Linked DNA regions of Ovis aries. The protein of the gene in region 1 interacts with the protein of each later gene in a pairwise test. Links are inferred from orthologs where the notes say so. Each region holds a gene or a part of one and is shown in the gene's direction. Other genes may lie near its edges. The genes, in order: TRIM21 and USP15.

Region 1 (3,799 bases):
TCACTTCACTGTGTCCAACTTTTGCAACCCCATGGACTGTAGCCCCAGGCTCTTCTGCCCATGGGATTTCCCACACAAGAATACTGGAATGGGTTACCATTTCCTTCTCCAGGGGATCTTTCTGACCCAAGGGATTGAACCCATGTCTCCTGCACTGGGAGGTGGATTCTTTACCAGTGCATCACCTGGGAAGCCCCCCTAACACAGGAGCTGTTTGCAAATTTGCATCAGATTACATTATCAGTCATCCACAAGGGTGGTATAACCATCGGATTTGGGCAGGATGAGGTAGGAGTTGGAGACAGGGTCTCTAATTCTTTTTCCCCCAGGAGTGAATCATGGAACCTGAAGGAGGTGGATGTCGCCTCCACAGACCTGAGGAATGTATTCTATGTGCCCGGGATTAAGAAGATGCTGAGGACGTGTGGAGGTGGGGCCAGCACCAGGGGTATGGGACTGGCTTGCCAAGGGAGTGAAGGGGATAAGGAGGGTGCCCAGTGCATCCCTGGGTTGGAGAGAGATGGCCGGTTAGAGTAGGTGGGGCAGGTGCAGAAATAGGGAAGGTGGTTCCCTCAAAGGTCATGGCAGGGGTCAGAGTTGGCTAGGAGTCATCTCCTCACACAGTGAGGCTCAGGGTCACCCCTTCATCCTCATCCCCCCACCACTGGCACAGGGTTGCTGACTCTGCACACTCTCCCAGCCTGACTGTGGCCCTCTCTCTGCAGTACACATCACCCTGGATCCACAGACAGCCAATCCATGGCTCATCCTTTCGGAGAATCGGAGACAAGTGAGGCTTGCAAACACCCGGCAGGACGTGCCTGAAAATGAGGAGAGATTTGATACTTACCCCATGGTACTGGGTGCCCAGCGCTTTGACTCCGGAAAAGTTTACTGGGAAGTAGATGTGACGGGAAAGGAAGCCTGGGACCTGGGTGTTTGTAGAGACAATGTGAGGAGGAAGGGGCAGTTTTTGCTCAACTCTGACAATGGCTTCTGGATAATCTGGCTGTGGAACAAACAAAAATATGAGGCTGGCACCTGCCCCCAGACTCCCCTCCACCTTCAGGTGCCTCCAAGCCGAATTGGGATCTTCCTAGATTATGAGGCCAGCACTGTCTCTTTCTACAACATCACTGACCATGGCTCCCTCATCTACACCTTCTCTGAATGTGCCTTTGCTGGACCTCTGCGGCCCTTCTTCAATCCTGGTTTCAATGATAGAGGAAAAAACTCAGCCCCTCTGATCCTCTGTCCACTTTAAGACCTGCTGGTAGGGATCTAGATGATTCTCTCTGGACACAAGCAACCCCTCTGTTGGTTCCACTCCTCAGCCAGTGGCCCTGTCTCATGTGCCCATGAACTGCAAACCACCTTCGTCTCTGCAGATGTATCAGGATGCCACAGGCAAACTGGCACCAAGGTCACCCACGGTCTATGTCAAATGACCTACAGCACCAGGATTCCTGCCCTATGTTGCTTTATGATTTCCTCCATGAAACAAACTACTTGCATTTGGCCCCCAAACTCATCTGGATCAACTAAAGCATGTTTCTGCCTTCATGTGACTCAAGTTTTGCTTTTTCCTCTCCATCTCTAGGCTTTTGGTCCAGTCTCTACTATGTATCTTGCAAAGTGAAAGTGAAGTCACTCAGTCGTGTCCAACTCTTTACAACCCCATGGACTGTAACCTACCAGGCTCCTCTGTCCATGGGATTTTCTAGGCAAGAGTACTGGAGTGGGTTGCCATTTCCTTCTGCAGAGGATCTTCCCAACCCAGGGATTGAACCTGGGTCTCCCGCATTGTAGGCAGACGCTTTACCATCTGAGCCACCAGGGAAGTCCCATGTATCTTGCACAGGACTTCCTAAATAAATTGGTCTCAATCTATCCCATCATTCCTATCTTGTATACCTCAAGGTTTATCTTCCCAACATGCATCTGATCAAGAGTGGCTTCACAGTGCCTATAGGAAAACAGGCATTAACTTTTAAAATAAAGGCTGAATTAAGCAGACCTTAGGTTGCTGTGTTAAATATCTAACCAGCTGTGATCCCTCATTTCCACTGTTATCTCCCAACCACATCTTGTTGATAGTGGTGTTGGTTAAAGAACGTATCAACATAAATGGCCAGTGTGATAGTTTTTTGATAGACCAACTTGCCTAGGCTATAAGCCCCCAGGTTTTCAATCAAACACTAATCTAGATTGTTGCTATGAAGGTATTTTTGTAGATGTCATCAAAGTCCATAATGATTTGATTTTAAATAAGGGAGGTTGTCCTAGATAAGGTGGGTGGGCCTAATGTTCAATCAGGTGGAAGTCTAAGGGTGGATCTGAGACTCCTGTGAAGAAGATAGTCCACTTGTGAATAGCAGCTTCAACTCATGCCCAAGAGTCTGAACTTCACCTTCCTGGATAATCTGCCCTGTGGATTTTATGACTTGTCTTGCCAGCCCTCCCAGATGTATAAGTGAATTTCTTACCATAAGCAAATCTCATAATATTTATTTCCTGTTCTCTACCAGTTGAATCCTAACTGGTGTGAAGGCCAGGAAGGGGGTAACAGCATCACCTGATTTCAGCACACACTTTTGTTGAATTTAAACTTTTTAAGTTGACACAATGAAGTTCTACATGTGAACATCAGCAGGCTGCCTGAGAGCCACTGTCCTTCCAGGAAATGTGATTCCTTATCTAAAATAGAATCTCAGATTGCCCTTAGCACATATGCTAAATATTTCATGAAAAACTTAGATACTACACAAAGATGTCAGTGACCTCAAAAAAAGCTGTTGTTTTTAGGTCTCTCTTAACATTGGACAGAAAGAAGGTACTTTGATGGAAAGATAGCAACAGCAGAATCCTCAGGCAAGAGACAACATCACAGAGCTAACTCAATGTAAGTTGCCAAAGGTGACCAGTGCTTTGGTTGATGCACTAGAGAGAATATGGAGAATTCAATTCATCATGAATGGGATGTGCTGGGAAAGGGTTGGATTTCTGTATATCCAACATGGGTCAAAAAGAAATATTTTTTATTAGAAGGGTAGATTATAAAATCAGCTTTTCTACTTCTCTGCTTTGCGGGGGGCCAATGTAATTGATGGTGTGTTTTTTTCCCGTTCAGTTGATATGCTGATATGAGGACACTGCCAAAATGATATAAACTTAAATAAATTTTTATTTCTCAAAATCTGAATACCTTGGCATATTGGGTTACCTTGATGTTTGCAGATATATTACACAGAGGACATACTGCCATCCCCTGCATCTCCACCAAAAAGAATTAAATAGTAGAGGTTTCATAGTATCTCAACTTTTATCCCCACCAATAATTACTAATAAGTGATCCAGGTACACTCCAGAAGAGTGTATGTAATCACACATAAGATTATGTAATCACACATAAGATTATCATACTAAGTGAAGTAAGCCAGAAAAAGACAAGTATCATATGATAACACTTATATGTGAAATCTTTAAAAAATGATATAAATGACCTTGTATATGAAACAGATGTAGAAAACAAACATGGTTATTAAAGAAGAAAAGGGGGTTGGAAGAGATAAATTAGGAGTTTAGGATTAACATATATACACTACCTTATATAAAATATATAACCGAGAACCTACTGTATAGCACAGAAAACTATATTCAATATTTTGTATTAACTTGGAAAAGAATACAAAAAAGCATAGACACATGTGCATGTATAACTGAATCACTTGGCCATTCACCTGAAACTAACACAGCACTGTAAATCAACTATGCTTCAAAAAACTTTGTTAATTCTCTT
Region 2 (4,491 bases), on another chromosome or scaffold:
ACTCTTTGATAGTACTCATAAACTAATTTTTAACTTGTCAAAAGTCAAATGGTATAAGAAACAGCAGGAACTGGAAGCTGTTTTCAGACTTTCAAATCAAGGATGCAAGAATACAAAATAGTATTACTTCAAAAAAAAAAAGCAATCCTAATGCTGATACACACAAATTATACTACCCTGACTTGGAAGGGTTCAACACTTATTAGTATATTACACCCATTTTCTGCATTCCCACCAAATGAGTTAGCATAGAGGCTGAAAATTAAACGAGAGATCATGCTGGAATTCTTATCCATCCTTTAGACTTTTCACATCATGTTATCTTACAGTCAAATCGCTGGACATCTTCATGCTTGGAATTACTTACGCAGTTTTGCCACAATTCATTTCTGAAACACATATTTAGGTCATTCTTGTTAGGCAGCACTAGGTGTACAAAGCGCTAGCCACTAGATGTACAAAGGGGTTGTTTTTTGTTTGTTTTAAATGAATTAGTGCAGCCTAGTTTCTATGTTAGTTTAGGCTTTCGTGGGGTCGCAAAGAGTCGGACACGACTGAGCTGAGCTGAAGGAGTGGTAATTAGTGTACTATACTGGACAGCGAGCCAGTGTGCACGTGAAGCTGGATTATAAACTGGCCTCTCCACTTGCTGTGTGACCTTGGCATTTGATTGTTGAGACTCGATTTTCCCCTTTTTGACATAATCGGCTTCAACTAATTGCTGGTATTAGCTACTTTCAAGTGCACACACCATGGGAAGGTGTGGCTAGGAATACGTCACTTCACAGTATCTAGGAGAATGGGTTTCTTGCCTGTTTTGGCTCCTTTACTTTAGTACCTGGCACTATTCGATACATATTTTACACCTTGTTCACCGAGGAACTGGAACATGTTTTTCACTGCAGCTTAGCTATCTGGGTGTGCCTGGGGAGGCGTCACAAAGAGCCTATAAAAGGTCTCCACCTACAGCAGGAGTAGGAGCGCAAGAAAGCCCAGAAAGAGCGCTGCGGCTAAGCGTTCGGCTTCGGGTCGCTAGATTTGGCCCAATCTTCACCGAGTTTAGGTTCTGAGACTCGCAACGGAGAGACTCGAGTCACAGACCTGTTACAAATTTTCTGCCATATTTCAGCCGTCCCCACGCCCCCCGCCCCGCCCCACCCTCAAGCGTGAGTGAATGCGCAAATAAGGGTTTTCAGGCGTCTGTGGGAAAGACGGAGGGGACGGCAGAAGGCAGGATGGACAGGGCGGTGGCACCGCTCAAATGAGCCAGGATCCAGGCCCCACAGCAGAAAGTTAAAACCAGGCGTTCCCGGGTCGTAGGAGGCCGAGGCGAGCTGCTGGACGGGCGGGGGCCGATGCGAGGCAGCCGACCACGGCGGAGCACTCACTCCGCCCGGGGCCAACGCCGGTCCGGAGGCGCACCCCCCCCCCCGCCTTACGTCTCGTTTGGTTTCGACCTGCCGACTGGGAGGGGCCGCGGGACGCCATTCCCACAATGCTCTGGGGCGTGCCGCCGCCGTCGCTGCCGCCTCCGCTGCCGCTAGTGGAAGAAGATGGCGGAAGGCGGAGCGGCAGATCTGGACATCCAGCGGTCTGACATCGCGACGCTGCTCAAAACCTCGCTCCGGAAAGGGGACACCTGGTGAGGGAAAGAGGTTGAGGTGGCTGCGGTTGCCCGAAGATGGTGGGGGACTCGGTGGGAACTGCGGGCTGGTGTCTCGCTGGTGACAGGTGCGGGCAGGTCCGGCGGCGGCCGCCTCAGGCAGCAGGATTTTGGCCGCTTCCGCAAGGTTGGGGCAAAGACTGGACCCGAAATGAGGGCCACGGTTCATGGCTCGTCGAGGCATGCTGAAAGGCTTGCGGGGAGCGGCGGCGGCGGCTCGTGCGGTTCTCCTTGTCCTTCTTCCTCTGGTTGTGCCGCTCCCACTTCAGGCCTTCCCGAACGATAGGTTACTCTCGTTCAGTGTGAGACTCTCACTTAATGTTTGACAGGTCCTGGTCTCGCGGCTAATCACGATCTCACCCGCTTCACTTCTTTAGTCATTTCCTTTCCCTGCATTGTCGGCATCCAAGTTCCCCTATTCTGATTCTCGTATTCTTCCGGGAGGCCGGCTGCAGGATGTTTGCGGTTCTTACTACACAGGTGGCATGTGTCAGGGCGCCGCTTAAGAGAAAGGAACCTAGTTCCTAGTTCCTTGTCAAAAGGAGGGAGAGGAGTACTGAACCTTAGGCTTCTGAGTGGTACCACGTGGTCTTGTGCTTTAGTGGAGGCTTGATAGACGCCAGCAGCGTTTCTCTTAGAAGTGCAGTCCTTCCCTCTCACTGGAAGGATAAGTTAGGCCTGCAAGAAGTAGATAAGTCCACTTGAAGCTTCAGTCACTTGCTAACATTCAAACTTATAAAATACCAAGGGATATACTTAAAATATCGAAGGAAGTATTTGTAGATTTTAATATTTGTGGGCCATATCAAGTGGTAATCAAAATAACTTAAGTATGTGAATATGTAACCTAAAATGCTCTGTTTCATTAGGAAGGATCATGTGCTTCTTTATTATAATAAAAGTTATTTTCACTTTTCCATCGTCACCATAACAGTTGTGTATAATATGCAGCGTGTTTTTTCATTTCCTCATTATGGCTTAGTGGAAGGAGGGTAAGATTTAGACTCGTTAGGTTAGCCTTTCCACCACTTAGCTTGCAGTGTGACTTTGAGGAAAGTTAATTCAAATTGCATCTCAATGATTTCATCTACGAAATGGACAGAATAATTTCATTTAGGGGTTTATCCTGATTCAGTGAAATAGTCTACAAGATTTTCTGCCTTGATATAACATTAAGTTTTAGTTACCTTCTTATCACCACCATTTCTGTTAAAATGCTGTGGTATTAGAATCATTGTCAAGTAAGCTAGAATCACTGTCAAGTAAGCTAGTAGATGACAGACTTGGGACTTGAATTTAAATACTTTGGTCCAAGTTTTGGTACTTTTTCTTATTTTGTTAGGCCACACTGTAAGTTTTATATGATTAAAAATCCCTGAGTGTAAACATATACGTGTTGGATTACAGCAAAAAATATGGTTTAATAATCATTTTGTTCATAAGGGAGTGTTCCTATGATGTTAATTACTGGGGAAATTGGACATTTCCTAGGACATTTTTATTTACCTTTTCCTGTGAATTGTAAAAAATGAAATCAATCCTTCTTCTTGTTTGTTAAAGAACATTTTAACATTCTTAATTTACCTTGCCTAATACCACCTTATACAAAGGTAAATGTGGATTTTCATGAAATACAAGTCTACAATTTAATATATTTGTTGATGTTCAGTCGCTAAGTTGTGTCTGACTCTTTGTGACTCCATGGACTCTAGTGCGGCAGGCTTCCCTGTCCTTCTCTGTCTCCTGGAGTTTGCTCTAACTCATGTTCATTGAGTTGGTGATGCTATTTAATTTAATATATAGATATTACTTTTATGTATATTACTCCTTGTTACTGTTGTTGTGGTTTTGATATACTGAGTAATAATTGGTGGTGTTAACCATAAAGGATGACCAAAGCAGTATGGATATTGTGACCATTAAAGTTTAGCATTTTTATTTTTGACAAAGTTACTGTAAATCATTTTAAAGATCTGTTGATATTTATAAGAGTAAATACAGGAAGTTCATAAATTTGAGGCATTTTAGTGCTTCCATCTTAAAAGAAAACTGAGGCCCAGACATTTAATTAACAGCAGAATATGCAAACTTTTATCCTCACAATTGATTTCCCCTCTCATTTACAGGAAAAAAATACAGGAAAAGATGGTACTGGGATGCTCCAGAAACTAATTTGGTTTATATGTGAGCCAGTTTACTTGGAATTAGCAAGTGAAACCTATCAAAAAAGGAATTAGCAAAAGTTTAATTCAGAATTTTAAGGAGAATAATTTAAGTATGAATTTGATAATGTGTTCATGAGTACAGAATTCGTAAAGATATTTAATGGTTTAGTTGTCGCTTAGGTTCATGTTTTTGGTACTCATTAAAACTTGTTAAACAGTTATTTCTCTTTTTAAAGTCTTAAAAAAGCCTTGGGTTAGTCATTTATGGGTGGGCAAATTATGTTTGTTTTTTAATAGCTGAAATGGGCCGTATGCAAATGAAACATTTTCTTGGCATATGTATGTTACCAACTTGAAAAGACTGATTGGACTATTAAGAAAAAATGATAGATTTACCATGAGTTTATTCTTGAAATGTTAATAGTAACATTTCATGTTATAGTCAAATACATTCAAGTAAGTAAAGATCATTAATTAGGTTGTGAGCACTTTGCAGAAAAGGACTGCCTCTTACTACTCTGGTAATTAATGCTAACACCTGGCCAAGGATACAGATTTGCTTCTATGTGGATACTAGAATTTCTGTTTATTTGTAAATAGTGGATGATTTTTATCTGGCAACTAACTTTCTAGAGATGAAAATAAGCTACACATGTCTGAGAT

Evidence for each region.
Region 2: the proteins of TRIM21 (region 1) and USP15 interact in binary tests that used the Homo sapiens proteins (3 or more experiments, as listed by UniProt). The link is inferred for Ovis aries from reciprocal best matches to the Homo sapiens genes TRIM21 and USP15.

The regions. Positions count from the first base shown.
Region 1 is NC_056068.1:49,582,392-49,586,190, forward strand, and holds the end of TRIM21 (E3 ubiquitin-protein ligase TRIM21), read left to right. Parts: intron 1-329; coding exon 330-430; intron 431-725; coding exon 726-1,264; 3' UTR 1,265-3,202; downstream 3,203-3,799. UniProt on the Homo sapiens protein: E3 ubiquitin-protein ligase whose activity is dependent on E2 enzymes, UBE2D1, UBE2D2, UBE2E1 and UBE2E2.
Region 2 is NC_056056.1:157,401,785-157,406,275, reverse strand, and holds the start of USP15 (ubiquitin carboxyl-terminal hydrolase 15), read left to right. Parts: upstream 1-1,542; 5' UTR 1,543-1,553; coding exon 1,554-1,642; intron 1,643-4,491. UniProt on the Homo sapiens protein: Hydrolase that removes conjugated ubiquitin from target proteins and regulates various pathways such as the TGF-beta receptor signaling, NF-kappa-B and RNF41/NRDP1-PRKN pathways.